4 linked regions of the Cricetulus griseus genome follow. The protein of the gene in region 3 interacts with the protein of the main gene of each other region in a pairwise test. Links are inferred from orthologs where the notes say so. Each region holds a gene or a part of one and is shown on either strand. Other genes may lie near its edges. The genes, in order: Epas1, Eef1a1, Ikbkg and Tank.

Region 1 (8,070 bases), on a different chromosome or scaffold from region 3:
GTAAGTGAATAGAAAAAGATTTCTCCAAAAGAGGGAAAGCCTAAATGTTGGAAGAATTAATCACAAGTACTTCCAGGGCTGAAGTCCTGGAGCATTAAGAATTACCTGCTTGTTTCCCTCTATTTCTAAACACTTTATACCATAGATTCCTAGAATACACACACACATACACACACACACACACACACACACACACACACACAGAGAGAGAGAGAGAGAGAGAGAGAGAGAGAGAGGCTGTGACAGAGAAATTGATTTAAAATGTGAATATTCTAGTTCAGCCTCCAAAGCCACAGAGAAACCCTGTCTCGAAAAACCAAAAAATAAAATAAAATAAAATTTGAATAAAGTGGACGGTTTCTATCTCATGACTTTCATTTCATCCCTGTGAAAACACCTAACCTCGACATACAACAATCTGGTAGCTGTGGAATGTTCTCCACTTTACAAAGCAACTTGCTACATCCAGGAACTGAGGAGGGTCCCTGCATTGGTTTTGCTCAGTGAAGTCCAGCAGAGCAGCAGGGTTTTTTTTTTTTTTTTTTTTTTTTTTTTTTTTTTTTTTTTTTTTTTTTTGTGTGTGTGTGTGTGTGTGTGTGTGTGTGTGTGTGTCTGTGTTTTCTACCTGAAATAAAGAAAAGCATTGCCAACTGACTGGTTGACTTCATTTCTGTCACATCTGGAAGGCTCTTTCAATTATCTAGGAAAGTAAATCTCCAATTTTGAAGGTTCAGGGGTCTGGCAGTGGTGGTGGTGGTGGTTAGCTGCACTAACTCTTTGGAAATCCTCAGAGGCTAGAGGCATGTCAGGGCTGGGGCTCTGTTGACCATATACTGACTTTAAATGAACCAGTATTCTGCTTCTTATCAGCCCTAAATTTCTTGGTGAGGAGAGATGCCATTTTACCTTCCCTGGGCCTTGTCCAGAAAGAGAAAATATCTTTATGGCTTCCATGCTTGTTTACAAAATAATCTTAAAGCCCCATAATAAACGAACGTTAAGTCACAACACCTTCTAAAAACTCTATGAAAGCTGTATACACCAAGTACAGTTTAAGTGCCCGAACTTCGAGTGTTACATAACAGTTCTCTAGTGTTCTATAGTTCTGGCAATACAACAAAAAATGCTAACAAGTGTTGAAGGAACTCTTATTAGAGAATAAGCTTCAACTTGAGAAACCTATCCTGCATTATGTTTCCTTGACTTGGACAAATGATGGACTTTGGTTTCATTTTCCAGCCAGCATGAGAAGCTAGCGGCAGTCTGGAAACTTGAAGGTCCAGGTGTCTCCATTCCTTGGGTACCCTTGCCCTGGCATCAAGTACCAGAATACTGCTGAAAGGTACTTAGACTAGAGTCTGGCTTAGGGCCTGGACTTGGATTCCTGGCCATCCTGGGACCCGGCTTCTATTTATCTTAATTGCTCTGCCCTGCAAATCTCCACTTGAGCACATCCATACTTAGCTCTTCCCAGAGTCAGGAACCTTGGAAGACTGGTGAGACCTCTGCTTCATCTAAACTCAATAGAGCTGGACATGGTTCCCTCTGTCAAAGCCTGTTAGCCAGCCAACAATGAAAAGGCTTGCTCTTAATTGTTATGGATTAGTATATACAGGGATGCCTGGGAATAGAAACAATCCTTCTGGATTCTTGAGGGGCTGTTTCTAGAATGAAAAATGTTCAATTATATTCTAGAGAAGAAACAGCTCTTAAACCAATAAAAATACAAATCTTTCAGGAAACCCTGCAGCTCACAACAATTTCGTGAGGCATTCAATGCCCTGCTTCACAATTTTTAAATACATCTCGATGCTCTAAGAAGCCAGCCAATATAACCAGAGTCTCAATGCCATTGGCCTAACAGGCATTGGGCAGTGAGGGAACTTGCACAAGGCTTGCCCTGCCTTACCTTAACACACGCAAAATCCCTGCTGGGCTACCACTAGGGAGCTGCACACCCGCAGCGGCCTCCTAGGAGGTTCACAGGCCAGCGTGTTTCACTGGTTCTTAAAGCGGCCGCTTGCACTCATCGGTAATTTGTAGTGTTATTATGCAACTGTCTTCCTGTTCCTACTGGGGCTCCCCGCACCCTCCAACAGCCCTCTGCTAAGGAGGCTTCTGTAAGTCGGGTATGGAAGCAGCTTTTCCCATGATTGGTAGACCTAAGAGCAAGATGACACTTCACACCGATTACCATCAGGCCTCATCTGTACAAATGCGACAGTCACCCATAGGCACCGCAGGAATAAAAAGTTCAGTAAGTTCCCCTGGCGGCTCTGGGCTGTCTGACTTCGCGGTTTTGATTATGACTGCATTCTGATTGCCTTTACAGCTTGAGTCTTTTCCCTTGCTTGTATAACCTCAAAGGACACAGCACCCCAGAGCTGTTTGGTGGGCAACAACGGGGAATCTAGAACCCGACTCAATACCTTCCCCCTAGAGATCCGTCAGCGCACGGTGCGGGCGCCTGGCCAGGACGGGTGCGATTCGCTCGTTTATCAAATCCTTATCGGTGCCCTGAGGTGGGAGCTGTCGCTTTCGACCAGAGGATACACTGTTCCTGGCTCGGGTCCCTAAGTGGAAGTCCAAACAAAAGCCAGTCTGCTCTGGGGCCGAGTCCTCAGCGCAGTCCTTTCCATCCTGCCTGCGGATCTCCCGCGCGGCCCGCGCCACTCTGACATCCTGCGTTCGATTCCAGCCACCCTAGCCAAGTAGCCGCTGAGCCCAGTGTTAGACGCTCTAGCCCAAAAGGCTCGCACCGGTCGAAACAGGAGCAAAGGGCCAGGCGACTAGCCACAAACTTTTGCAGGAGGCGAGGGTGTACCCAGGGCTGCGCGGCAGCGTGGTGCGCTCGCACCCAGGCTCTGAGAGAGCCCTGCCGGTGTCGCCTGATCCGGGGCGGATTGAAGGAGACACTAGGGCAGCGCGAGTTGGCCGGAGTTGCCTCTCACCCAGTGCGGAAAGATTCGCGAGGACAGGCCTTCGTGGTTGCCCTTCTCTGTCTTCTTCAGACACTCGGAGAGGTCCGGTGTCGCCGTCCTCTCTCTGCACACTAAGACACCTGCCCCCGCAGGGCAATCCAGGTCACTACCCACTCTCTGGTGGAGTCCAGATGCAGGGCGAGGGAAGGGGGTGTTCTAAAACTTGAGTGCCTTCAGGAGCAGGGCACTTGGCCGTGTTCCGGCTCCTGGGGCCAGGAAGCGCCCCCGAGTTGCGCTTTGCCCTCTGTCCCTTACTAGTTTGGGGCGCGGAGCCCGCAAAGGAGAGCTCTCGGAAAGACCTGAAGGGGTCTTAGGAAAAGAAAGGCGTGTCTGCTCAGCAGGTAAACCCTGAGAAAGTCGAGGGCATCAGCCCAGAAACATTTCAAACCCCAGAGCTTGGTGTTCTGGGGACGACAGACTTTGGAAGGCGCCGCGGAAGCACCCCTGACCTCCAGGGCCACCTCTCTGTGACTCAAGGTCTCAGAACGATCGGGTTCGCGACTTTGTTGTGAAGCGGCAGCTGCGCGTCCGTAAAGTCCGCACCTGCTCGCTCACCCACCCACCCACCGCCACCTCCAGAGCGGTCCCCCGGCCTCCGAGACCTCCCGCAACTGTCCCGGGTCGCGCCCGCCTCGCGCGGTTCCGCCACTGCCTGGCACTGAGTTGGTCGCCGGTTCCGACGCCCGCTTACCTTTTCTTCTCCTTGTCAGCTGTCATTGTTGCAGTGTCCCTCCGAGACCCGGAGCACCTGGGTTCCTTAGGCCGGTAGGGGCTGCAGCCGCTGCCTTAGCTGTGGCCCTCGGCGGCTCTCTGTCGCCCCGGCAGGTGTGAAAGGTCTTTAGTGCTCGCAGGTCCGAGTGTCCCGCACAATCAGGTGGAAGTTTGGCGGACGCCTGGCTAGGTGCGGAGGAGGAGGAGGGAGGAGAGGGGTGGCGGGGAGGAACCTGTAGGAGGAGGCGGGGCCGGGGAAAGGAGTGGGAGGAGGTTGTAAGACGCCAAAGGAGAGAGCAGAGACAAGGGACCTGAAGTTCCGTTTATCCGCAAACAGGAGTCAGTTTTCTGGGATGTCACAAAACAAAACCAACCAGCCAACAAACAAAAACAGTGGCTCAAAGAGAGCGAGTTGGAAAGAATCCGGGGCCAGGCGAGTGCGGCCGCTGAGATGACCATACAGTCTCAGGACACTGCCGAGGATTGTACGGCCGCCTCAGGAGAGCTGGAGCGGAACGCTGGAGACTCCGAAGCTGTGCACCGGCCGCTCTCGAATGTCCGGTTTCCTCGGCTGCCAGCCCACTTTAAAAACTCGGACGGCCCGCCCGCGGGAGGGCGCGAGGGGCGCGGGAGTCCCAACAGCGGCCCGGGGGCGGGGCCGGGGTGGGGAATGGGCGGGGCCGGGGCGGGGAGACAGACAAGCTCCGCCCCTACCCGCTGGCTGCCTCGTCCCGGCCAATGAGGAGGCGCCGGCACAGCCTCTGCCCTCACCCGGGACCGCCCCTTTCTCTCCGGCTGAGCTCCTCCCTAGCTCGCCCAGCCCTGCCTCCTCCTTCCGCAGATCAGCACTTGTTTTTGTGGTACTCTCAGCGCCGGGCTGAGTAGTGGAAGGGGTCGGCTACCCGAGCCCAGAGAGTGACTTCGCTCCAGGGTCCTCTCAGTAGCACATTTCCCTGAACCAGGGCAGGACCGCGGGGTCGGGGTGGGGTGGGGGGGGTCCCACGCGCAGCGGAGGCGTGAGCCGCACTCACAGGTGCTGCTATGCGTCCCTGCCCCAGCTGTGCGGCTTCCCCTGACAGGTGGGAATAATTCCCAGGACTCCGACTGCAGTGCTGCTTGCCAGCCTGGGTGGTGCGCTCTTTTTGGCGAAGCGCAGCTGACCTTGACTTCTGAGTCCCGAGAGGCAGGAGGGGGAAAAGGTGTGGGAGAAAATGTGACAAAAATAAAATTATTTAGGGTTGCTCCTGCGGTGTCTTTTTCTCTACCAGTTTGTGGGTTGTTTGAGGTGCTTGTGGTCGGCTGTTAGGTTATGGCGCATACTAGAGAAGAGGGCCTTGGAGTTCTCCGGCCTGCCTTTGCCAGGCCTCAATAAATAAGCCAGCATCACCATGGGTTCCCTGGTGTGATCTTGGGGGTGAGCGTTGATAGCACACCCCAAGTCACTGGATCTGCCCGCCCTCTTGGGCTCCAGGGTTATCGAATAATAACACCACCTTCAGGAAGTGATGGATCTAAAGTCCCTCACGAGCAGGCAGAGAGCTCTTTTGGCCTTTTCCACTTGTGAGGTGCTCCTGCCCTGACACTTTCCCATTTCCTAATTAGGTGATCCAAGGGGAGATCTCCAGAAGGAACAAGCGAAGACTGGGAAAAAGGCCCATGAGCTTCACATGTGTGACTTACCCAGAAAGCAAGCAACTGCAAAGTGAGCTGTCCTGGGACCCAAATCCAGTACGCACTGCATTACTCTCTCACCAACGTTTCTTAGTAAAATTATAAGCAGAAACCCGGTGTGTGTTGCTGCGGGGGGGGGGGGGGGGACACGGATCTTGAGTTTGTGTAGGTACACAGGAAGAGAGGCACTTTTCAGGCATTTTCCCAGAGACTTGGGAAGGTATCTGAAGGAACCAGGAGAGCAGGGAAATCAGAAACGATAGACACTCTCCTTGAGAACTTGGAAATCAATCCACATACCTGACCGTGATCTCAAAGATCATTCATTTGTTTCACTCAAAGAAACTGGTGGGTGATTTCCTACAGCACTTCTCCATCCAGACAACACTGCCAGACTCATTTATTTGTCTTAATGAGAAACGCAAATTATTAGACATGGTTATAATAAACGGTAAGCATATTTAAGTCACTTGAGACTGGAATGGAGGAAGGGGGGAAAGTCAAACAATAATTAAAAAAAAATAAACCCAAGCACTTTGGCAGCATCAAGGACCCTAACATTGTTTTCCTCTAGAGCTCTTGAATCCTGAGCTGTGCTTGACAGGTGACTATGCAATACCTCTAACCTGCAGGGAACATTTCAGTAGGGCTGAGGTTATGAAATTTGTTTGGAAGATTTTTGTTTTTAAGAGGAAAGGTAGGGCCCTAAGGTGCAAGCATGTGTGGGGCCCTGGGTTCAACCCCTAGCAGCAGATGCTACAAAAGTCACTCAAGAAGCACAGCAGCCACATTAGCACAGCCCCTTCCCTGTGCTGACATCCCCTCTTTCTAACTGGGGTTTTAACCTACACATGAAATGGGCCTATATAATTCCCAGAAGGTCCCAGCCTTGCACAGAGCAGAACCGTCTGGTCTACCTAAAGCCTCTTAACATGTCTTCCAGAATTTAGTCAACAACCTTTGTATGGAGCTAAGAGTGTAAACCAGTCACAGCATTCTTTGTAGTTTTAGCACCTGTGGAGAACTAAAAGTGGGGGGAGAAGCTCTGAAAATAGATGGTAGGGGTGGGGGAATGGTGCCCCTGGCTTTAGAGAAAATCTCTCAAGAGACATTGATGTTAGGGCCACAGAACAGCAGAAGGTATCCTGAAGGAAAGCTTAAAGGGGACACAGATGACCTATCCCTTAGGAAGTCATCCCCCACCGGTGTCCCGTGATCCCATTGTCGTGTGTGTGTGTGTGTGTGTGTGTGTGTGTGTGTGTGTGTGTGTGTCCTGTCTCTTGGTTCTCCACTGAACTGCTTGGAGTCAACAGCTGTGACATCAAGGGACTGCCTACTTGTTTTAATAAGGGATGTGCCTGGGTCTTTGGTTTCTTCCCTTCTTTGTTGAGTGTCCCATTAGAAGGACAGCTGTTGATAAAGGCTAACCTACAAACCTAAGGAAAGCAGGTACTTGGGATATAGCAGGAAGGTGTGAGGATGACTCAGTAATCCTGTCAGAGTGACAGACATGACCCAGGATATGGTTTGTAATCAGGTTGGAGTGGCTAGGTCTTAGCAGAAGAGACCGAGAAAGGCTGGGCTATTGCTTTAGTGTTTGACAGACTTTCAGTTCCTTGTCACAATGGGATCAAGAAGAAAGACAAGAGTAGCCCCTAGGACTCAGAAATGGAAGGAGATACTCAAATTCACAAAAACCTGCACTTGCCACTGTCCTGCAAGTACACTGTCTCATGTGACAGTCCTCTGAATTGTCAGGAACAAGGAAGGTAGCAGAGATGGGAGGAAGGGCTAGCTGGGAGAGGTCATTGCTCCTCCCCCTTGACAAACCTTTCTGACTCACCCCCAAGAGTTAATCTGCATTATCAATTTGACTGGATTTAGAATTACTTTGGAAACACAACTCTGGGCTTGTCCATGAGGGTGTTTCCAGACTCTATGAACTGGAATCCCAGACTGAATAAAAAGGAGGAAGTGAGCTGAACACCTGCATTCATCTCTCTCTCTCTCCTTCTCTTTCTTCCTCCCTCCCTCCCTTCTCCCCCTCCATTCCTCTCTCTCTCCCTCTCTGCCTCTTCCTCCCTCCCTCCCTCTCTTTCTCCCTCTCTCCTTTCCTTCCACCTTCCCTCCTCTCTCCTACAACCATTCTTGTATCACAATAACAAGAAAGGTTTTTACTTTTACTCAAATAGGCACTCACCCCTACACACACACACACACACACACACACACACACACACACACACACACACAGCTCCATTCCAAACAAAACCAACCTATGCCATGACTTTACAAGACCTATTTTCTATATTCATGCTCTAACCCTGAACACTGGTACCAGACTATCATCCTCCTATGTGTGGCTCTTGGCCAACATCCTGAGGTCATTTCCTAGACGCGTGCTATATATGTTATTAAACATTATGACTTTTGGCCCATATACTCAGGATTTGTTGTCATTCTGAAGAGGTTCTGTGATTTTATTCCACTGTCTGAGTGGCTTCTGATGGAGCTACTTGTTTACAACCGATCCCACTGCTGCTCCTTCACACCTGGATTGGCAGTGACTTAGAGGCCAGTGGCTTCTCTTGATGGCTCTAGGAATAAGGTGGTGGCAGTGAGAGGCTGTATGTGTTTCTCCCCGTGTGGCTTAGTCAATGGAGCAGTCATTGATCCACAGTTACTCTGCTGCTGTGCTATTCCATGG
Region 2 (8,006 bases), on a different chromosome or scaffold from region 3:
AACAAACAAACAAATAGAACAGAACAAAGGCCAGACCCCCAAGCTTGGGAGGCAGAGTCAAGAGGATTTCTGAGGCCAGCATAGTAAGTTCTAGGCCAGCCAGGGCTGCATAGTAAAATCCCTCAGAAAACAAACAAGTAACACACAACAAATAGGGCTGGAGAGATGGATCAACAGTTAAGAGCACTTGGTTCTCTTGCAGAGGACAGTTCAGTTCCCAGCGCCCAGATCAGGCAGCACACAACATTCTGTAGTAGCTAGCTCCAGGAGACCTGACACCCTGACCTCTGAGGACACCAGGCACACACGTTGTGCATAGAAACAGATGCAGGCAAAACATCCACACATATAAAACAAAAAATTAAAACCAATAAAACTCCTAAACTTTTGGTCTTTCTTGAATCTTCAATCCCTCAGGTTATGAAATAATCATTTATGCAGTCAAAAATTTGCCATTCTTGTTGCCAGGTGTGGTGATGATTCGGGGAAGCAGAAGCAGGCAGATCTCTGTGAATGAGGCCAGCCTGGTCTACAAAGTGAGTCCCAGGACAGTCAGGCCTGTTACACAGAGAAACCTTGAAAAAAAAAAGATAATATGTACTGTTGTATTACCCCAATATATAAGGCTAAACCATTAGAAGCACAACACTGTTAAGTACGGAAAATAATATCTAGTGTGGTACAGTTACTACTACTATAATACACTAATATAGCTGTGGGAAACTAGTTCCAAAGATGAATTACTAACCAGTGTTTCCAAGGAAATAAATGAAAGCAGAGAGATTAGTTCTATTGCTAGTGTTTCATTTTCGTATATTTCTTACAATTTCTCTTGTTACAAATAGGCACTAGGGTATCAAGATAATTTTAACGACTGGCTGAGAACCCTAGAAAATCTCTGTGAAAAAGGGATTTGTGAAATGAGAGAGGGTAATGTGGCCATTATAGAAAAGGCTTTTGTGTGCCTTGCATGCATAGACCCTGTGTTTGATCTCTTAACACCCTCCTTGACCAGAAAAAGCTTCTGTGGATAGAAAATGATTAGTTATATATACTTTTAGGGAAACGTAGTTCTGGATTCTTTGGTTACAATTAACAGAATTAAGTGCAAACAAAGCCAGAAACCTCCTGATAAATGAGAAAACCTGCTTGTAGAAGGTTGTAAGGCTCTGTAATATAGGAATTAGGAGAAAAGAAACCTGTGTGGTGGGGCACGTCTGTAATCCCAGCATTGGGAAGTAGAGGTAGAAGATTAGAAATCAAAGGCCAGCCTCAGCAACACAGTGAGTTTGAGGCCACCCTGAACTACATCAGGTTCTGTCTCCTTTCTTTTTTTTTTTTTTTTCTTTTCTTTTTTTGGTTTCTCTGTGTAGTTTTGGAGCCTATCCTGGCACTAGCTCTGAAGAGCAGGCTGGCCTCGAACTCAGAGATCAGCCAGCCTCTGCTGGGATTAAAGGTATGCACCACCAACGCCCCAGGTTTTGTCTCAAACAAACAAAAATAACATCAGGAGGTGGTGAGAGGGCTCAGTGGTCACAGGCATTCTCTGCAAAGCCTGACTCTGAGTTGGATCCTTTAGAGCTACATGGTTGAGGGAAGAGAACTGACTCCTGGAAGGTGTCCTCTGGTCCCCACACATAGCTATACACAGCATGTGCATTCACACACACTAAATAATGCTATTTTTAAAAAAATTAAAAACAACAACAGTTTGGGTTGTGAAAACTAGAACTAGATAATAGGTAAGAATCAAGTATCATGTAAATTTGCTTTCAACTCATCCCAAAATTTGTTTTATATTTCAGTTTTTTTCCTTCCTAGCTTGACTGTGGAGTCTTGTCCGGAAGCAAATAGTTCCTTTGCAGATCCCACATGTGGACACCGGACAGTAGGTCCTCAAATGCTCCTTATTAGGTTGGTTCAATAATATCAATTGTTTGTTACTAGGCAGTGATGTTGTACATCTGGAGGAGATCTCTTGAGCCCATAATCAGGTTATTAGGAATAAATACTCTAAGGCTAAAAATGTAGCTTAGTGATAAGAGTGCTTGCCTGGTGTGCTGAGACCCTCGGTTCCATCTCCACAACCCCATATTCCATTACAAAATACCTTTTCACCGTCCCTAGCATTAAGAAACAAAACAACAAAGAAGTTTTTCTTTCTTCTGAGATCCTGCCCGGAGAGGCATTTAAAACTGGCCAGGGCCAAAAAAAAAAAAAAAAAAAAAGAAAAAAAAGAAAAGAAAACAGGCTAGGGCCGGCATGGTGGCGCACGCCTTTAATCCCAGCACGCAGGAGGCAGAGGCAGGGCGGATCTCTGTGAGTTTGAGGTCAGCCTGGTCTACCTAGTGAGTTTCAGGGCACCCAGGGCTAAAGAGACTGTCTCAAAAACAAAACAGCCACACAATCAGAACCACAGCAAAACGCAGTTATGATCCTTGGAACTGTAGGAATGACAAGCATTTAAATAATAGGACGAGCCATTTTTGAGAAGCTCTGATTTCACAAGTGTCAGGGATGGGCTCTGGGCGAGTAAGATTGCTAATGCTGGCCTCTAAATGAGACCACGTGGAGTTGATTAGATTCTTTTCATGTTCCTCGTGCTCTATCAAATAACTGTACCCAAATACACACACACACACACACACACACAATGCGCGCACACACAAAATCCTTTTTTAGCTTAAGAAGCCCAGAATCAGAAGTAAAGCTAACTGTGGGACTTAAGTATTATTCTGAACGGAACTCCCAGGGCGTGAAGCGCGCTTCAGGCTTCCAGAGAAGCAGCTGGCGCTGGATGGAATGAACCAAGAGGCCAGCACAGGGGCAGATCCGTCGAGCTCTCGGCCACCGAGCTGAGCCCTTAGGTTCTGGGGCTGGGAAGGGTCCCTAGGATTGTGCACCTCTCCCGCGGGGGACAAGCAGGGGGATGGCGGGGCTGACGTCGGGAGGTGGCCTCCACGGGAAGGGACACCCGGATCTCGACACAGCCTTGGCAGTGGAGTCAGGAAGGGTAGGGACAGATTCTGGACGCCCTCTTGGCCAGCTCCTCACCGCCCCACCCCCGACTGGAGCCGAGAGTAATTCATACAAAAGGAGGGATCGCCTTCGCCCCTGGGAATCCCAGGGACCGTCGCTAAATTCTGGCCGGCCTCCCAGCCCGGAACCGCTGTGCCCGCCCAGCGCGGCGGGAGGAGCCTGCGCCTAGGGCGGATCGCGGGTCGGCGGGAGAGCACAAGCCCACAGTCCCCGGCGGTGGGGGAGGGGCGCGCTGAGCGGGGGCCCGGGAGCCAGCGCGGGGCAAACTGGGAAAGTGGTGTCGTGTGCTGGCTCCGCCCTCTTCCCGAGGGTGGGGGAGAACGGTATAAAAGTGCGGTAGTCGCGTTGGACGTTCTTTTTCGCAACGGGTTTGCCGTCAGAACGCAGGTGAGTGGCGGGTGTGGCCTCCGCGGGCCCGGGCTCCCTCCTTTGAGCGGGGTCGGGCCGCCGTGCGGGTGTCGTCGGCCGGGCTTCTCTGCGAGCGTTCCCGCCCTGGATGGCGGGCTGTGCGGGAGGGCGAGGGGGGGAGGCCTGGCGGCGGCCCCGGAGCCTCGCCTCGTGTCGGGCGTGAGGCCTAGCGTGGCTTCCGCCCCGCCGCGTGCCACCGCGGCCGCGCTTTGCTGTCTGCCCGGCTGCCCTCGATTGCCTGCCCGCGGCCCGGGCCAACAAAGGGAGGGCGTGGAGCTGGCTGGTAGGGAGCCCCGTAGTCCGCATGTCGGGCAGGGAGAGCGGCAGCAGTCGGGGGGGGGACCGGGCCCGCCCGTCCCGCAGCACATGTCCGACGCCGCCTGGACGGGTAGCGGCCTGTGTCCTGATAAGGCGGCCGGGCGGTGGGTTTTAGATGCCGGGTTCAGGTGGCCCCGGGTCCCGGCCCGGTCTGGCCAGTACCCCGTAGTGGCTTAGCTCCGAGGAGGGCGAGGCCCGCCCGCCCGGCACCAGTTGCGTGCGCGGAAAGATGGCCGCTCCCGGGCCCTGTAGCAAGGAGCTCAAAATGGAGGACGCGGCAGCCCGGCGGAGCGGGGCGGGTGAGTCACCCACACAAAGGAAGAGGGCCTTGCCCCTCGCCGGCCGCTGCTTCCTGTGACCCCGTGGTGTACCGGCCGCACTTCAGTCACCCCGGGCGCTCTTTCGGAGCACCGCTGGCCTCCGCTGGGGGAGGGGATCTGTCTAATGGCGTTGGAGTTTGCTCACATTTGGTGGGTGGAGACTGTAGCCAGGCCAGCCTGGCCATGGAAGTAATTCTTGGAATTTGCCCATTTTGAGTTTGGAGCGAAGCTGATTGACAAAGCTGCTTAGCCGTTCAAAGGTATTCTTCGAACTTTTTTTTTAAGGTGTTGTGAAAACCACCGCTAATTCAAATCCAACATGGGAAAGGAAAAGACTCATATCAACATCGTTGTCATTGGACACGTAGATTCAGGCAAGTCCACCACAACCGGCCACCTGATCTACAAATGTGGTGGAATCGACAAACGAACCATCGAAAAGTTTGAGAAGGAGGCTGCCGAGGCAAGTATTCGAAGGGAAAAGGTCGGGGGGGGTGGAAATCTACCGTAAGCAGGAAATTGTTTATTTAGAAACTAGATGTTTTGAGTGTACTAACTGCGAATCACTGAACAGATGGGAAAAGGCTCCTTCAAGTATGCCTGGGTCTTGGACAAACTGAAAGCTGAGCGTGAGCGTGGTATCACTATTGACATCTCCCTGTGGAAATTTGAGACCAGCAAATACTATGTGACCATCATTGATGCCCCAGGACACAGAGACTTTATTAAAAACATGATTACTGGCACTTCTCAGGTTTGTGAAATTTACTACCTTCTGACCCTTACCTCCAGCTGGAAAGCTTTGTTATTAACGGGAGGTAACTTTTTCTTAGGCTGACTGTGCTGTCCTGATTGTTGCTGCTGGTGTTGGTGAATTTGAGGCTGGTATCTCCAAGAATGGGCAGACCCGTGAGCATGCCCTTCTGGCTTACACCCTGGGTGTGAAACAGCTAATTGTTGGTGTTAACAAAATGGATTCCACCGAGCCACCTTACAGCCAGAAGAGATACGAGGAAATTGTGAAGGAAGTCAGCACCTACATTAAGAAAATTGGCTACAACCCTGACACAGTAGCATTTGTGCCAATTTCTGGTTGGAATGGTGACAACATGCTGGAGCCTAGTGCTAATGTAAGTGACTTGAAGAAGGTGGTTAAATGGAAAAGCTGTAAGGGGGGAGAGATTATAAAACATTTGGCTACTCTGCATTTCAGATGCCTTGGTTCAAGGGATGGAAAGTCACCCGTAAAGATGGCAGTGCCAGTGGTACCACACTGCTGGAAGCTTTGGATTGTATCCTGCCACCAACTCGTCCCACTGACAAGCCACTGCGACTGCCCCTCCAGGATGTCTATAAAATTGGTGGTAAGTAGAGCATTCGGACACTGGACTAAGATGTTTTGAGGTGTGTTCAGTTGTCTTCACCTTATATACTGTAAATGTTTTTAGGTATTGGGACTGTTCCTGTGGGCCGAGTAGAGACTGGTGTTTTAAAACCTGGAATGGTGGTTACCTTTGCTCCAGTCAACGTTACAACAGAAGTAAAGTCTGTTGAAATGCACCATGAAGCTTTGAGTGAAGCTCTTCCTGGAGACAATGTGGGCTTCAATGTAAAGAACGTGTCTGTCAAAGATGTCAGACGTGGCAACGTTGCTGGTGACAGCAAAAATGACCCACCAATGGAAGCAGCCGGCTTCACTGCTCAGGTAAACAAGATAGGTGTCAAGAGTGTAATATTGATAGCAGCATGCAAAACCTGAAGGCAAGATTTAACCAAATGCTGTTTCTTTCAGGTGATTATCCTGAACCATCCAGGCCAAATTAGTGCTGGCTATGCTCCTGTACTGGATTGTCACACAGCTCACATAGCATGCAAGTTTGCTGAGCTTAAGGAGAAGATTGATCGCCGTTCTGGTAAGAAGCTGGAAGATGGCCCTAAATTCTTGAAATCTGGTGATGCAGCCATCGTTGATATGGTTCCTGGCAAGCCCATGTGTGTTGAGAGCTTCTCTGACTATCCTCCACTGGGTAAGTAGAACTTAAGTTTCTGTTGCACTGAGTATTGTTTGGATATGAAATGCTGTATGAACAAGTGCTCATAACTGTTTCTGTGTAGGTCGTTTTGCTGTTCGTGACATGAGGCAGACAGTTGCTGTGGGTGTCATCAAAGCTGTGGACAAGAAGGCTGCTGGAGCGGGCAAAGTCACCAAGTCGGCCCAGAAAGCTCAGAAGGCTAAATGAATATTACCCCTAACACCTGCCACCCCAGTCTTAATCAGTGGTGGAAGAACGGTCTCAGAACTGTTTGTCTCAATTGGCCATTTAAGTTTAATAGTGAAAGACTGGTTAATGATAACAATGCATCGGAAAACCTTCAGGAGGAAAGGAGAATGTTTTGTGGAACATTTTTGTGTGTGTGGCAGTTTTAAGTTATTAGTTTTCAAAATCAGTACTTTTTAATGGAAACAACTTGACCAAAAATCTGTCACAGAATTTTGAGACCCATTAAAATACAAGTTTAATGAGAAGTCTGTCTCTGTTAATGCTGAAGTCATTACTAAGTGCTTAGCTTAGCAAGGTATGTGGATGCCCATTTGTGTTCCAAGGGATTGGACTGTTCATCAGGACCCAGAGCTGAGTTTCAAGGGCTCAAGAGATGGCTTATTACCTGTGGGTGTCTTGAAGGTTCTGGTTGGGACAAATTAGGAATGTTTTTGGCAGACATGGTGACTACCCTTCATCTGGGTGAGTTCAGTTGATTTGTCTTGAGCCTTTGGGGTTTACACAAGTAAATGACATCATACAGTTAGTGTATTGTTAGTGAATATTAATATATGAGGCAGGCTTTGCTCTAGCAATTTTAGAACTAGTTTTCAGGAAAGGGTTCATCTTGTGCATTGGATGTTTGATTCTATCACTTAGAGTTTAAACTGAAAGTGCTCAAGAGGTTTTATTTAGGCTGGGATATAAATAAGCCTTTCTGTAGCTTGTAATGGTATCAGGAATTTAAAAGGCCATCTGGGGCACAAAGATTAAGCAGAAAAGGTAGAAGGTGAGATTGGGGGACTTTGAGTACTTCACACACTTTAATGTGTGAGTGCTTTAGTGCATATAGTACAACTGCCAGATAAGGGCATCCACATCTGATTGTTTGGAAGGCACCTTGTGGTTTCTGGGAATTCAGAATTGGGAGAAAAAGTGCTCCCAACCGCTGAAGCCCTTGGTAATCTGCAGGGTGTTTATTTAGCAGGAGATAAGGACAAAAAGTTATAGTGTGGAGTTGGTTGAGTTGGTAGATGTCATTACAACAGGTGGTCTTAAATTGGGTTAGGAGTCACTTTGAAATACCTGGGCCATAAGCAAAGTGGCATTTTCACCTTTCAGGAGAAACTGGTACACTTATCCATTCTATAGTGCATGCTTGTTCAATTGGGCTGATGACTAAACCGGTGACTAAAGGTTTGTCAGTATAAATGGATGGGTTGTAGGCAGACGGTGAGGAATTACTATACCTGCAAGGAGTCATTGCCTGATCTGCCTGGAAAGGGGCAGGATTGAGTCTCAGAAGGTGTACACCATAGGATATGGAAAAATTTGTCACGCCTAGCATTCAACTTAGTGGTGTAGCGCCACCTACTGGCACTTTAAAAGCTTAGCATAGAGGAGCATGTGTGTTAGGAGCTCGGATGGGATCCAGGGCCTCAAGGTTTGCATGTAAATAAAAGCCCTTTACCAAATTAACTACATACCAGCATACATCAGTCCTTTAGTGTTGAAAAACAGAAGTGAAAGCTAATATATATAGTGCTTGCTTTATTTAAGTCTAGCTGATTACGTGTTTGGTTGCCAGTGTGACTAGTCTGGAGTTGAATTTGTCCTCAGACACGTAAAATGGAATTTGGGATTCACAACACTCTAGTAT
Region 3 (7,305 bases):
TGTCAAGAGCTCCCACCTTCTGAGAAGGGTACTAGATCCCAGCCACTGCCTGGGGCCACCCTCAGATTTTGGCTTGACCAGTCTATGGAGCCCAAGCCAGAATGTTTTCAAGCTTTCAAGGCTTCTAGGTGATCCTGCTGTGCAACCTGGGTCAACACCAGCTTTCTGCACCACTTTCAGGATAAAGTACTGGTCAGAAATGTACCTATGTATCTCTATTTATCCAAGAAGCATGAAGCCCATACAGCTACTTCAAGAAGTAAACAGCTCTTTCCTGCTACAGCCAACCTGCCTTTCTCAGTCACACCCACTGGCCCTGCTAGGAGCATAGCACCTATAAGGGCCTGACCTCCTCCAAATTCTGAAGCCTAGCAGTCACCATCACCCTAGAGTCCTGCCTTTGGGCTGCACTCAGGTTCTGATGATATCCCTACTCTGGGTTGTGTAAGCCCAAACCCTCAGAACTTGAGAACATGACTTTATTTGGGAAAAGGGTCATGGAAGGTGTAGTGAGGCAAGAGTCTTGAGCTTCTTAATTACCAGATAGACCCCACATCTACAATTTGGTGTAGAGGAAGAGACCATTAGGCCCTAGAACCAGAGATTGGAGTGATGGGTCTATAAGCCAAGCAACACCAAGGACTGCCAAAAACTACCAAGAGCTGAGAGAAAGCCTGGAATTGATTCTCAGAAGAAATTTAATATCTGACTTCCAGACATAAAAGAGTGATTCTTTTGCTGCTTCAAGCCTCTGGGAATTTTTAGGACAGCTATAGGAAAGTCATTGGCCACCACAAAACTGAACTAAATCAAACCAAATCAATAGCAGTCCTGAAGGAAAATTAAATTAGGTATTTAAATGAAGGGTTCATGAGCAAAGAACATGTCTATTCCTTTAACATTTCCCCAAAGATCTGTCTGATAGATACCTGGGAATTAGGAAACAGGAAATTCTGAGGAAGCCCCCAGCTCAGGCTTACTTTTTAAATCCTAATTCTACTCAACCTTCTCTCTCTTAATCGGCAAGAAGCCCTGTGAATAAAGCCCAGGCAGGGATTGATTTACAGATCCCACTCAGAAACATGAAAGCTTGCAGGAGGGCAGAAAGGGTTTCAGGCCTGAGGAGTCAGCAAGGCACATCTATTGCTTTCTCAACTCCAACTTCCTTTACTTTACTAGAATAGCAAGGCTAATACCAATGACTGTAAGGTCCCAGAAAATGGCTAGAACCTTGTTCACAATCTGCCAGTCACTACTAAATGGTTCCCAAGACAGAATTATCTGGGCTAGTGGAGAACATGCCATCACAAACTTCTCGAGTGTGATGAACTATGGAAACCAACATTCACACAAGACAACAATGTGCTTTCCAAAGAGAAGAGCACACTGGGGCTAGAACAAGAAAAGCATGTATGTGAAATACCCTTATGTCAGATCACAAAGCAGTCATAACTCCAAAGCCAAAATATGGGAGTAAAGAATGGACATGAGTACATAAACAGCTTCCAGGACCCAAAACGGTAACACAATCAAAGTGGAACAAGTTGTGCACTTTCTGTGATAGACAAGAGCTAATCTGACTCATGATCAAAGAGCACCCCAGGAACAAATGGCAATGATGAGACAGAAAAGTGGGTAGAAAATATGCAAATCCAAGTTACATCAGCAGAATTAAAAAGGGCCCACATACACCAGAAAAAGACACTTAAGCACACTCTTTAGTAAAGAACAACATGTCTAGCAGATGGCAGAAACACAAAGGTGGACCAACCTCCTCCACGGCAAGGCTCCAATGTTATGTCTAAGCATATGTCTTAATGGTACACATAGATCAGTGTACAAGTACTTTCACTACACCATTAGTTACGGTAGCAAAAAGATGGAATACTTCCCAAATGTCCATCAGAGGCAACACATGTTATGGCCCTAAGTGGCACATACCCTGGGAGGGCAGGCTGCAGCTCAGGGCAATAAGGCACCAGCTGGAGGAAGAGCTGCACCCAGCCCTGCTTGGAGAAGGGATGCTCCCTGAGAGCCCCTGACCTCCATTCTAGACTTCCTAGGAGAATACAGGAGGGAGGAAGAAGCTACAGAGGCAACTGACTCAGGCACACAGAAGAAAAGGGGAAAACACAGCCCTGACTGGGGCTGTCTATCCCAGTGCAGAACTAGCAGGCCTAAGGGCTAAAGCAAGGATCCAACTAGGTCCTGGGGCCAGCTCTTTGACAACAAGCCCTTAATTGTGGACTATGCAGGTGAAACAGGAAAGCACAGGTTGCATAGTTCAGGACATGGTATTACAAGTGGCCTTACATCTGCTGTTCCTACTCTATGCACTCCATGACATGTATCTGTAGAGTGTCCATATCAGGTGCCTGATACTGGCACTTGGGACAACAGAAGTCAGGTGGTTCCTCAGGAGGACTTCTCCGCTGGTTGGGCAAAGCCAGATGAAAGGAGTGGTGAGCTGAGAAAAAAAAAAAACAGAGGCCAGCTGGATAGGCTTCATGAACAGACTGGGTAGACCTCAAAAGGGAAGGAGAGGCTAACAAGGTACTAAGACCTACAGATACCACCATATTTGACTATGTGTGGCTGGGAGCCACCTCTACCAGCACATTCCTCCTTTTGCCTCAGGGTGCTGTAGGCTACTGCTGGGGATGGCCAACAAGAGCTCCCCAAATCAGAGCAGCAGGGAGGCTAATGCATGCTTTCCCTCAGCACAATATTCTGCCCTCCCTATCCATCTCCACCCATCATCTACCACCTGTTCACTCACCTGGAGCAGGGAGTAAAGGGGGCTGGGAAGTCTCTACATGTCGCTTCCTCATATCCTCAATCCTTTGAAAACAAAAACCATTCAATCAATGCCTGCAGGAATTTTTATGAATAAACATCTTCATTGAGATATAATTCATGTACCATACAATTCACCAATTTAAATTGTATCATTCAGTGTTTTTTTACTATATTCAGCATATCCAATCATTTGTATAATTTTAGAATATTTCATCATCTTCCAAAGGAAACTTTGTACTTACTAGCAATTACTCCTGGGTTCCCCCTACATCAGTTTTCTCAGAACCTTACTACAAACTACCACATACCTGGTAGCTTAAAAATAACAAAAATGTGCACGATGTAGGAGGCCAGGTGCCCTAAATCAACGTATCAGAGGACTGGGCAGAAGTACCATACTCTCCCCTAGATGATAATAGTTAACAGATTCGTTGGAATTTCTTGGCTTATAGCTGAATCCCAGACTCTTTGTCTTGGCCTTCTTGTGTCTGCCTTATGTATCTTAATGTGGTGCTTCTATAAAGACCACAGTCAATTTATTAACCTGATAGGACCTTATGTTAACTAGCTATATATACAAAGATACTATTTCCAAATGAGGTCAGATTATGAGGTTTTAGGTAGACATGAATTTGGGAGAACTCTATTTGTACTGGTTAGTTTTTTTTGTTTGTGGGTTTTTTTTTGTCAGTTTGACACAAGCTGGAGTCATCTGATAAAAGGGAACCTCAATTGAGTAAACGTCCCTATTATATTGACCTGGAGGCAAGCCTGTGGGGCATTTTCTTCATTGATCATTGATGTGAGAGTGCCTAGTTCACTAGGGATGGTGCCATCCCTTAGGTAACCACCTGGGCTATATAAGAAAACAAGCTGAGCAAGCCATGGAGAACAAGCCAAAAAGCAGTTCCTCCATGATTTCTGCTTTAGTTCCCATCTCTAGTTCCTGCCCTGACTTCCCTAATCATAGTAAAACTGTAGGATGAATAAACCCTTTCCTCCCCAAGTTGTTTTTGGTCATGGTGTTTATCACAACAGTAACAAAACTAAGACAGACATTAGTACCAGGCTCTTGGGGATTTGCTAAGACAGACCTGGCCATATTGTTTTGTGAAAGACTGTGGAAGGACTTTGGAATTTTGGACTGGAAATGCCATCATCAAGTAGTTAGAGCTTAATGGGCTGTTCTGTGGGAGCCAAGGAAGATAAGAATGCTGACAGCAATGAAAATGATGAAGGCCTGGCTTGTAAAGTTTCAGAGGGAAGCAAAGCAAAGATTCTATCACAGTCATTCATGTGGTATTTTGAAATAAGAATCTGTAGTTCTGGTCAGCTGGAGCTGAAGAATCAGGTATGATGAACAAGAGACCAGCAGCATTGAAGTAAAACCTTTGCTTTACTGGCACAATTGATGCTGGTTACCTGAAGCCAAGAAAGTGATTAAGAGACCAGCATCACTGAGGTGAAATCTTCTAGACTCTAGAATCCAGTGAGTATATCCTCAGGGTCAGTACACAGAAGCTCTGGTTCAGAGTGGGTCAATGTTGCATCTCATGCTAGCAGTCAAATTGGGCTATATGAAGGGGTTATGGAAAGCAGCTGAGGTTTGGTACTATTTGAGAGGTCAGGAGAAGTTATTTGTGAAGGTGCACCCTCAGTGCAGTGGAGATGCCAGTACCATGGGACAACCACCAAGAATAACAGTAGCTGTGGAGAGAAGCCAGCCTGAGCTTATGAGACAAAGTATGTATGTGTGCTATGAATGGCAAAGCCAGAGAAGTATAGCTGCCTAAGCCCTTTGGAGCCCAGAGGATTATTAGTGGATACCCGACATCAAGCACTGCATTTTTTTACACTGTTGGATTTTGGTTTTGCTTTGATTTGATTGTGACTGTGCCATGGTTCTTCGCTCTTAGAGTAAAAAAATATGTACCTTATTATTTTATAGGAGCCCATTGATGGACTTTAGACATTTAAAGAGACATTTTTTTAAGAGTGATGGAATGTTTTAAAGACTGTGGGACTTTCAATATTATGGGAGGAGGGTTTGTTTGTTTTTTGTTTTTTGAGACAGGGTTTCTCTGTGTAACATCCTTGACTGTCCTGGAACTCACTCTGTAGACCAGAATGGCCTGAAACTCAGAAATCCATCTGCCTCCCAAGTACTGGGATTAAAGGAATGTGTCACCACTGCCCAGCCTAAATTTATGTTTTATATTGTCATCTTAACATGAATTGGAGAACAAATAAGAAAGGAAAGGTTTTGGTGTATTTGTATGTCAAGTTGACAAGGGGTTAACTGTGCTGGTTGGCTTTTATCAACACAAACTGGAAAGAATCTCAATTGGCTTGTAGGTAAGTTTGTGGGGCTTTTTTTGATTAATAATTGATGTGAGATACCCAGCTACAGTGGGTGGTGCAACCCCTGGACTGGTGGGCTAGGTTGTGTAAGAAAGCAAGCTGAGCAAGGCAGTAAGCATCATTCCCCTCTGGCTGCTGCTTCAGTTTCTGCCTCCAGATTCCAGCCCTGACTTCTTTCCATGACAGATTATAAACTATAATCTGACCTTTCCTCCCTTAGTTATTTTAGTCATCATGTTTATTACAGTAATGGAAACCAAACTAAGACACTAGGAAACCTAACATCCCCTCAAAAACTCCAGCCTTAGATACCTATCAATACATGCATTTCTGTGAAGTTTCTAGTTGGACCAGTGGTAAAGGTCACTGTTGGAAGGACAGAACATGGGGAGAGCAGCAGGAGGTAAAGGGAACTTAATGCAAACACCAAGAGTCATCAATCTCCTGCAGTTACTACTGGTTGTTGCTAGTATATGACTGCTCTGTGTGTGGCTGTGTTCTTGGCTACACTCTTAGAGGCCCACCTGGCTGACTCATGGCAGCCAACCTTCAGCTTGCTGTACTCGCGCTGCAGCTGCTCCAGCTGTTCCTGCAAAAGCTCCTTCTTCTCCACCAGCTTTTCCCGGGCATGCCTCTCAGCTTGGAAGTCAGCCTTGTAGATATCCGCCTGGCAAATAGAACAAAGGTATGCCAACTATCCATCAGCTGCCCATCAGGCATTCTATGCCATGCCCCACAGGAACAGAATCCTGTCATGTCCCCCAGAGCCACATGATAGTACACTAGGAACAGATATGAAAGCCTGTGATCCCAAGGGCACCAAGAGGTCAAGGACCAATGCAAAGGACTCAAGAAGACTAAAAGAGGCCACCAAAGAATGATGCCAAAGAGGTGCACCAGACCCCACTGCCTGGGAGGGTGGGTCACTCATGTGGCAGGCAGGTTGGAGCAGAGCTCTCACCTGGGCCTTTAGGACTGGCACAGTCTCCATCACAATCTTGTGTTGCTCAGCTTCTTCTTTCAGTTTATCAATCAATTCCTGTTTGGCAACCAGGGCCTCCTCAGCTTGCTGGAGCTGTTGCCTCAAATCTTCCAGCTGCATTCCCTAGAGAAAGATAAAGGGTGCTCACAGAGTCTCTTGGCCCACAGTGGGGCCAAACTACCTCCCTGGCTGGCCACTATTCTGAGAAGGAAAATCTAGAGCAAATCCAGTCTGAGATTCAGGTCAAATGACAAAATCTCAATGTGTGCAGGGAGAAGGCTTCATCCTGCTATGGCCCCACAGTACATAAATGTTGAGGTCTTTCTTAGGATGCACAAAGATCTTAGGACTGATAGGAACTCTGAGGATATAAAAGGCACTGCCTCTTATTTTGCATCATCTCCTTCAGAGAATTCCCAGCTAGGGAGTCTTCCTCTAACTCCTCAAGGACAGGAGCCACCCTCTCTTCGAGGCTTCCCACTCCACAGTAAGTACTATGCACTAACCCTCCACAGACTGAAAGCCCACCACACATCAGACAAGGCTGCAACCCATGAGTCCTTCAACTCTGCCACTTGGTCAAAGGTCTGCTTATCACACACACACACACACACACACACACACACACACACACACACACACACACACACACACACACTATACACATGCACCCATGTTCTCAACCAAGAATTCCCTCCAGAGATTAAGCAGCCATTTTAAAAGATTTTCTTGATCATGGTGGATGATTTTTTGATGCGTTCTTGGATTCAGTTTGGCAGTATTTTATTGAGTATTTTTGCAACAATGTTCATGAGGGAGATTGGTCTGTAATTCTCTTTTGTTGTTGGGTCTTTGTGTGGTTTGAGTATCAGGGTGACTATGACCTCATAGAAAGAATTTGGCACTGTGCAGTAGTGGCGCATGCCTTTAATCCCAGCAGTCAGGAGGCAGAGGCAGGCGGATCTCTGTGAGTTCGAGACCAGCCTGGTCTACAAGAGCTAGTTCCAGGACAGCCTCCAAAGCCACAGAGAAACCCTATCTCGAAAAACCAAAAAAAAAAAGGAAAAAAAAGAATTTGGCAATGTTCCTTCTGTTTCTATTTTGTGTAATAACCCAGAGAGAGAAAGACAATATGTTATGTACTCACTCATAAGTGGACATTA
Region 4 (7,305 bases), on a different chromosome or scaffold from region 3:
CAAGGACAGTTACATGGAAGCCGTGTCTCAACCATTTTTAAAAACTGGGGATGGTGGGTGGTAGGCGAAGCCCAAATGGTAAGAATCATGAAGAAAGGGAAGTCTCATTTTGAACACTTTTTGCAGCATTGCATACTTGGTACCCTCTCTCAGACATCTCGAGACCAGTGGCCATCAATCAGGCTGCTAACAATGAATAGCAAATTTCTCAACACGAATTTGAACATTTCTAATCTAAATTAATAAATATGGATTCTCCTTTCAGGCTTTTGCATTTGTTCTCAATAAAAGGAAAAAATTTAGACTGCTTAGTTTGAAAGATCATTTTAAATTTTAAAGTGACCTACTAATGTGTAATAAATTCTGAGACATGAATTTTATGAACGTTCCCCAAATGTCACTTATTTATTTACCTCAGAAAAAGAGAACAATTTTAATGATCACAACATAAATTTTAATATAACTCATTGAATCATGCATCTATACACATAGTAAAAATTAAAACCATGTGTATTATTTTTAAAAAGATCTAAAATGTTTAAATAATTTTCATTGGGCAACTAATGTCTAATTTGGTATTTACTTAGGTAATTATATTGTCTGCTATTCTCTGTAAATTATATTATGTATTTTAAAAGAACATTATCTTTAGCATAAATAATTTAAAAATTCAAGTGAAATCCTATACATAATATCCTATAAACATTTGGCATTATCAAATTTAATACATCTCACGAGTCAAACAATAATTGTATATATTTGAGACATAAATTATTATGTAACTCTAAGTCACATGCATAATTTTGAATTATTGTAATAGTGTAAACATGAATATAATGAATTAATTTTAGACAAAATGATCTCAAAAGCTAAGGTAACAAGTTTAGAAAAAAATTCAAATAGCTATGACTGAATTTCTTTTATAAACCATCTTAAATCTAGCTTACAAGCAAGCATTCTCCAGCATTACAAATCCAGAATCATCAGAGAACATAATATGTCTGTTTTCAAATGTGACTCAAGTCTCATGATAGTGTGAATTAAGATGCCGGAGGAAATCCCTCCTGGATGTATTGGACGGTGGGAAAAGCTCTTGACAGAATTCACACACTTGAGCTTTAAGGCATTCCGAGTCTGTGCCAGTTAGTACCACTAAGTCAGTGTCTTGGTTAAGAAAGGGCTTCCAAAAGGGCTGCAGGAAACAAACAAAAACATCTTTTGTTATTTGTATTTAAAATCAACTTGCATTGAATTTCAAATCCAAATATATGAATGACTTTTATATGAGCTTTTATCAGAAATTATCTAATGTTAAAGCAGATTTCTTTTTCAGAGTGGGCACAACTGAACCACATACTCCTGAATTTTATCCTTATGTGTTTAAAAATACTCCAGTTTAACACCAGCAGTCGTTAATATTCAGTTATCTCTTAACCACCGAGCCATCTCTCCAATCAATATTCAGTTATCTCAATGGCAATAGTTTTGAAACAATAGCCAGTACTTTAGACTTTATGAAGTTCTATATTTTCTACTTCACAATTTAAGGAACCTTAAATTGTAATAATACATGTACAAGCACACTTTTATTAAAGGCAATTCAAAATCCAAATAAACAAATCACATATAATAAGCATTTTGACTTCTTCAGAAAAGTTTCTTTTAAACTACTACACAAATTCCATTTGTCAGTTTAAAAAGAATTCAAATATTAAATCACTCGACAATATTTAAACTGAGACATGTTCTCTTGATTGCTTACTTTGCCTGTTTTATAGTTTGGCCTCACTCTTTCTTGCAGATGAATAAAATAAAAACCTGTCAATAGTTGCCCAATTAAAGAACTTTGGAAAGTTGTAATTAAATAGAACCAGCTCCAGTGTACTTATTAGCAAACAAAAACTTGTAAATATCCTTTAAAGAAGTCTAGAATAATACTACACAGGAATTAGTTTAACAGTAGCTACTTAAAAATGATGTTGACAAGAATATCTAACTCTCCTGACTGTATAAGCCCGATTATTAACAACTTATTTGTACCTTGACACAGGTGAATTACCCTGACCTAGCTAAATTAAGAGAGTCACCTCATAATACCATTCAAAGAGATTCCTTTGTGCTCCAATTACTAATGTTTTTAATGAAACACAGTTTAGTTCGGCACCTGACAGTGTTTACACCTTTAACTTCATTCTAGTTAGCTAAGTATTTACATAAACAGTATTGTTAATTGAAGTATCTGGGTTTCAAGGCATCACTGTCTAATAATGAGCACTGCAGGACAGCTGTGTACAGCAGTTTTAATATATAAATTCTGTTTTGGTAGCAAGACACATTGAAGAGTTATTACAAACACCTTAGAATGTGGACTCAACTTATTTTCATGGGAAGTGACTGTTGCCACAAAATTAAAAATATCTAAAATAAATGTCATAAAATTTGGGGTAAAGCACTTTTTTGTTGAAAAATTTCCCTGATGACAGAAAAGCAGTAATAATTATAAATGGAATTAGTTAAGAGTTAATTAGATTCAAATGTTACTGGCTGTAGTTTAATGAAAAAGTAAAAAAAAAACAAACACTCTAATGCAAAACTGTGGTGGCTAGTAATGAAATGATTAAAGGTATTTTTTATTAAGATTGATAAAACAGCAAGAAATTAGCTTAAAAGTGAACCAGTTCCTAAATTTGGTAAGCCAATCTTCCATTGACAATTTACTTTTCAAATCTAACAGTAGCTTTTAGTTCAGATTCGATCTGTTCTTAGAATTTAATTGGAAGCTTGATTACTGACTCAGCAAAAATAAAAAAAGAAAATCACACAGAACAAAAATCAGCCGATATAGATTTTAGTCTCTGCTATGAAAACTGAAGTGAAAAATACATAATTGGTAATGATGATTAATATAAAGTAAAAATAAAGTATGTAATCAAAACTTCTTTTCTTACTATCTGTGGACCACTCAAGAATTGTACCCATGGGCTTTGTTAATACCAAAGAGTAATGTTCAAAATACTCATTTAAATAAATATTTTTGCAAACTACAACTGTAACGTGGCCTTTAAACCAAACCAATTTCTTTGCTTTTTCTGCCACAATATCAATTATCTAACCTTATGCCCCATGACTTGTGACAGCTCAACACCAATTCTCTTGAATTTTTAAAGCTGAATACTTTTCCATCAAGTTGTAATCACATACCAGCTGTTTCCCTTGCTGCAATATAGAAAGTAAATGTACAATGCAGGGTGCCATCTACTGAAACATGAATGCACAGACTGACTAGGAAAAGAACAAGCAAGAGATATAATGGAGAGAGAGTAACAAGCATTAGAACTGATGCAGTTCACAGCTCCACAGGAATTCCACTAGCAATAAATGAAATTGTTTAATTGTTTCATTTGGTAGCAACTATAGCTGAGACCATGATGTGAAATAAGGTACAGGGTAGAAGGCAGAGAGTTAATAATTAAGACTTGTCAGAACCCCTAGTTTTACCTACTACTGAAATGTACTCCAGTCTGACTGTTCCTCCCTTACACACTGTTTAAAGACCTTTAGCTGCTAAGAATACTTAAAGCCAAAGGAATTTTTCTATATTGAAGAAAACTAAATGTTCAAAAGTTCAAATGAGGATTTTGTTTTTTCCCCACAAGCTTCTATTTATTTTCATTTGTCTTTAGGAACTAAACAAAATTTATTTTCCTCCCTAACAAAAAGAATATTTATGTGAAAAAAACCCTGAATCTGAAAGACAGGATGGTAGGATTAGATTCATGGGCTATAAAGTCTTCATGCTTCATAAACAGTAAATAGACATTTGATTAACTCATTCATACGAATCATTTCAAATAACTCATTATTTGAAAAAAATATGTAAGATGTCTGTTAAGTGTCAGGTTAGCAACCACACTAAACCTTACAGAACTATGTACTACCATAACTGAGAATGTAACAAGTAGGCTGAATGACAGTTTATTTTTAATATTTGGTGCAGTTATCTACTTATGGAAAATTATACATTGTTATGTGTATAACTTTTAGTATTGTTATGTGTATAGCTTTTAGTATTTGTTTCACATTATCAAATTGAATAAACCATCCACTAGAATACTGCTATAAACAAGCTGTGACTGAAGGACTAAGCATGTAAAGCCATGCCATAAACCCACGAGAGACCTTTATCATGTTCATATTCAAAATTCATGTCCTTTATTACATAACTTACATATTTTACTGAAAGCCTCAACTATGGATAGTCATTAATTTAAAGTGGATGTCTGGTAACTTAAAAGAGATTCGTATCTGTGCATGTATGACAAAATGTGTGTTCACACATAATAAAATATTTGTTAATGCAAAACAGTTACCTGCTGTGGTCCTCGGACAGCTTTTCCTGGGGAATCCAGTGAGGGAAGAGGTGCATCAGGCGGGTCCTGAAGTGGGAATTTATTTACATAGAACACATTATGGTCTCCAGCTGGCAAACACGGAGCTCTAAGATTTGAGGGTTTTGTTTTGTCAGTTATTTTAAGGTTCTCTATAGCTGAAGTTATGGGGTCAATTCTCCGAATTTCAAATAAAGTTTCTTCTGTTTTACCAAAGTTTCCTGGGTTGTCTCTGACTTCCATATTAAATCTGTCCTGGCACACTGCCTCAGATGTGGCAGGAGTATGGATGTTCGGTGTCTCTGGAGTACTATGTAAGAAAGCAGAGTCACTGTCCATAGGTGGAAACTTGACATTGAACTTAGAAAGTGATTCCAAAGAGGTGTCTTCCTCATCTCGGCCCAGTCCTCTTGGTGTAACAACAGATTCAATACACGGCGTACCTCTGTTTCTATCATCTTTAGCCTGGGGCTTAAACAGCGCTTCTTGTTTTTCTGTTTTATCAGTACACTGTATAGGCACAGAGCACTGTGTGTCTGCAGGAAAAAGGATACAGAGGGAAATAGTCACACTCAAATCATTGAAAAAAACAGCTGAAACAGCTTTAGGCAGAGGACTATTGTTTTTCTATTGGTTTATATACCAACTGAAGACAACTGGTATTTTTATGTTTGCTCCCATCTTCCATGAGGATAATAGCAGTCCCCTGCAGGTGAACCAAACAGCATACAGGCTGCAACTTAATTGCTTTGTTTTCTCCTAGGTTTTCTACTATAAGCTTTGCATCTTGTTCTCAATTACACTGCTTTACACTTACAAAAATGATTGTAGCTTATATGTTTACTTTGTAACAGAGGCCACAATTCTAAGTTTAAATATATATATATGAATATGAATAATTAGAGCATTTATCATTTACTACAGGAATAAGTTAATTCATTTCCCCTAATAGCAATGTGTTATTAGGTATAACTTTAGTCAGTTTAGTCACTGTCTACACTGAGTGGTGTCAGAATCAGGAAAAAAAGAAGACAGTGAAGGCAAAAGAGATTGATATCTTGGGATGTACTTTAAGGAATTACATGTGAATATGGCTGGGTGTGGTATAGCACACCTTTAGTCCCAGCACTTAGAAGGCAGAGGTAGGTGGATCTCTGTGAATTCCAGGCCAGCCTGATCTACACAGCAAGTTCAAGGATAGCCAGGGCTATATGGTAAGACCCTGTCTCAAAAAAAAGAAAAAAGAAAGAGAAATAAAACGATGTGTATATATCATTTCTCATATTTAGAAAGGCTCTCTGACTAACATGCAGATATGAGGTGGGCACCAAAGCTGCTTTAGCTCATTCATAATAAGCTTTTCTCCAACAAAATCTCTAGGGTATAGTCACATGCTGGCAAGGAGAACTTCTGAGGAACCAGTTAGAGTGACAGAGATCATAGCAAATTAAATGGAAATATGAGCTGTTAAAGAAAGACAAGAAGTCAGCAAATGCTGGCAGTATGGGAGGAGGCTAGTAAACCAAAAATGTGGAGTTATGAATTCAGAAAACACTAGAGTATAGAGCTGAAAAGACGGCTCTGTGCTAAGAGTACACATGCCCTTCAGGAAGACTAGAGTTCATTTCCCAGAACTCACACTGGTGGCTCACAATCACCTATAACTCCAGTTCCAGGGGATCCTATATCTCTGGCCTGCACAGGTACCCACATTCATGCACATACCCACATACCCATGGTTAAAATTAGATCTTTTAAAAAAAGCCAACAAAGGCTACAGTGTAATAAATATAGCAAGAGATATATTTCACAGTACCAAAGCAAACCAAAACACACCCAACAATTATCAAAGCACAGTTCATGTTTATGATCCCGAGATACTGGAAAAAACATAGGTTCCACAATGCCACTTCAAGAAGCCAATGTGTTTTGCAGTGCATTTGTTTATTTGCTTTTGTTTTTGAGATGGGGGTCTTATGAAGCTCAGGCTGGCCTGGAATTTCCAATGTAGGTGAGGTTAGCAGTGGACTCCTAACCCTCCTGACTCCACCACCCAAGGGCTGGAATTACAAGTGTGCAGTACTATTCGTGCAGCAATACATTTTATTCAACAGATTAATAGTCATTAGTGAAGTCATATATTCACAAATGAAGACTTTACCAATGAAGCAGGCATAAGAGTACAGGATATACATAGCACTTTCCACAGTCTGTTTACGTTAGTAGCATTCAACAAGTGCCAATTTCTTTATATTGTTTTGATCTTTAGGGTCTTATGACACTTATTGTTGCCATAGTACATTCCAACAGAAAAAGCCTTCTGTTTGGATATGGTGTGTAGTACAATGCCTCCACCTTCTTTAGTTCATTCTGTAGCATTACATACACACCTACACATCTCCCCCTTTCTCTCCCTCAGACTGCCTCATTATGGCATCCAGGTTTACCCCAAAACTCTCAGTACTCCAGCCCTGGCCTTGCTAGCCCGGGCTATAGGCATTGCAATGTGTAGCTCTTCGCCTAACTCTTACTTGTCCTTCCCACCTTGACCTAGACTTTGATTCTCTGGATGGCTCTCCCATGACGTTTAGGTACTCTGAGGACTGAACATCTTTATATTTGCAAACAGACTTCCCCTCCCCCATTAAAACAGGTTTCTATGGCACCTGAAACCATGTTCTGCTCCCTGTTTACCCAGATATCCCACCTAGTGCCTGGCACACATATGATACTATATTCTTTTCCTCACAGGATCTAGAATTATAACCCATACTTACTAGACATTCTGGCTGTGACTAGAAACAGTACAGTAATTGAGACCAAACTCAATTGTTTTGCTGAATTTCTTTGACCTTTGAGGTTGACAAAGTTCATTTACTCTCAAGTAGTCACTTTTCTTGGTAGTCAACTTGAGGGT

The links.
Region 1: the proteins of Ikbkg (region 3) and Epas1 interact in a two-hybrid assay, tested with the Homo sapiens proteins (2 studies listed by BioGRID, with this or other methods). The link is inferred for Cricetulus griseus from reciprocal best matches to the Homo sapiens genes IKBKG and EPAS1.
Region 2: the proteins of Ikbkg (region 3) and Eef1a1 interact in a two-hybrid assay, tested with the Homo sapiens proteins (2 studies listed by BioGRID and IntAct, with this or other methods). The link is inferred for Cricetulus griseus from reciprocal best matches to the Homo sapiens genes IKBKG and EEF1A1.
Region 4: the proteins of Ikbkg (region 3) and Tank interact in binary tests that used the Homo sapiens proteins (3 or more experiments, as listed by UniProt). The link is inferred for Cricetulus griseus from reciprocal best matches to the Homo sapiens genes IKBKG and TANK.

The regions. Positions count from the first base shown.
Region 1 is NC_048598.1:88,384,992-88,393,061, reverse strand, and holds the start of Epas1 (endothelial PAS domain-containing protein 1), read right to left. Parts: upstream 4,342-8,070; 5' UTR 3,699-4,341; coding exon 3,673-3,698; intron 1-3,672.
Region 2 is NC_048597.1:189,543,767-189,551,772, reverse strand, and holds Eef1a1 (elongation factor 1-alpha 1), read left to right. Parts: upstream 1-3,393; 5' UTR 3,394-3,426; intron 3,427-4,370; 5' UTR 4,371-4,404; coding exon 4,405-4,548; intron 4,549-4,659; coding exon 4,660-4,839; intron 4,840-4,918; coding exon 4,919-5,215; intron 5,216-5,298; coding exon 5,299-5,449; intron 5,450-5,533; coding exon 5,534-5,790; intron 5,791-5,877; coding exon 5,878-6,112; intron 6,113-6,200; coding exon 6,201-6,325; 3' UTR 6,326-6,594; downstream 6,595-8,006. UniProt on the Homo sapiens protein: Translation elongation factor that catalyzes the GTP-dependent binding of aminoacyl-tRNA (aa-tRNA) to the A-site of ribosomes during the elongation phase of protein synthesis.
Region 3 is NC_048604.1:1,264,699-1,272,003, forward strand, and holds part of Ikbkg (NF-kappa-B essential modulator), read right to left. Parts: intron 6,266-7,305; coding exon 6,122-6,265; intron 5,828-6,121; coding exon 5,685-5,827; intron 2,842-5,684; coding exon 2,780-2,841; intron 2,468-2,779; coding exon 2,325-2,467; 3' UTR 1-2,324. UniProt on the Homo sapiens protein: Regulatory subunit of the IKK core complex which phosphorylates inhibitors of NF-kappa-B thus leading to the dissociation of the inhibitor/NF-kappa-B complex and ultimately the degradation of the inhibitor.
Region 4 is NC_048599.1:113,240,249-113,247,553, forward strand, and holds the end of Tank (TRAF family member-associated NF-kappa-B activator), read right to left. Parts: intron 4,925-7,305; coding exon 4,371-4,924; intron 1,193-4,370; coding exon 1,019-1,192; 3' UTR 739-1,018; downstream 1-738.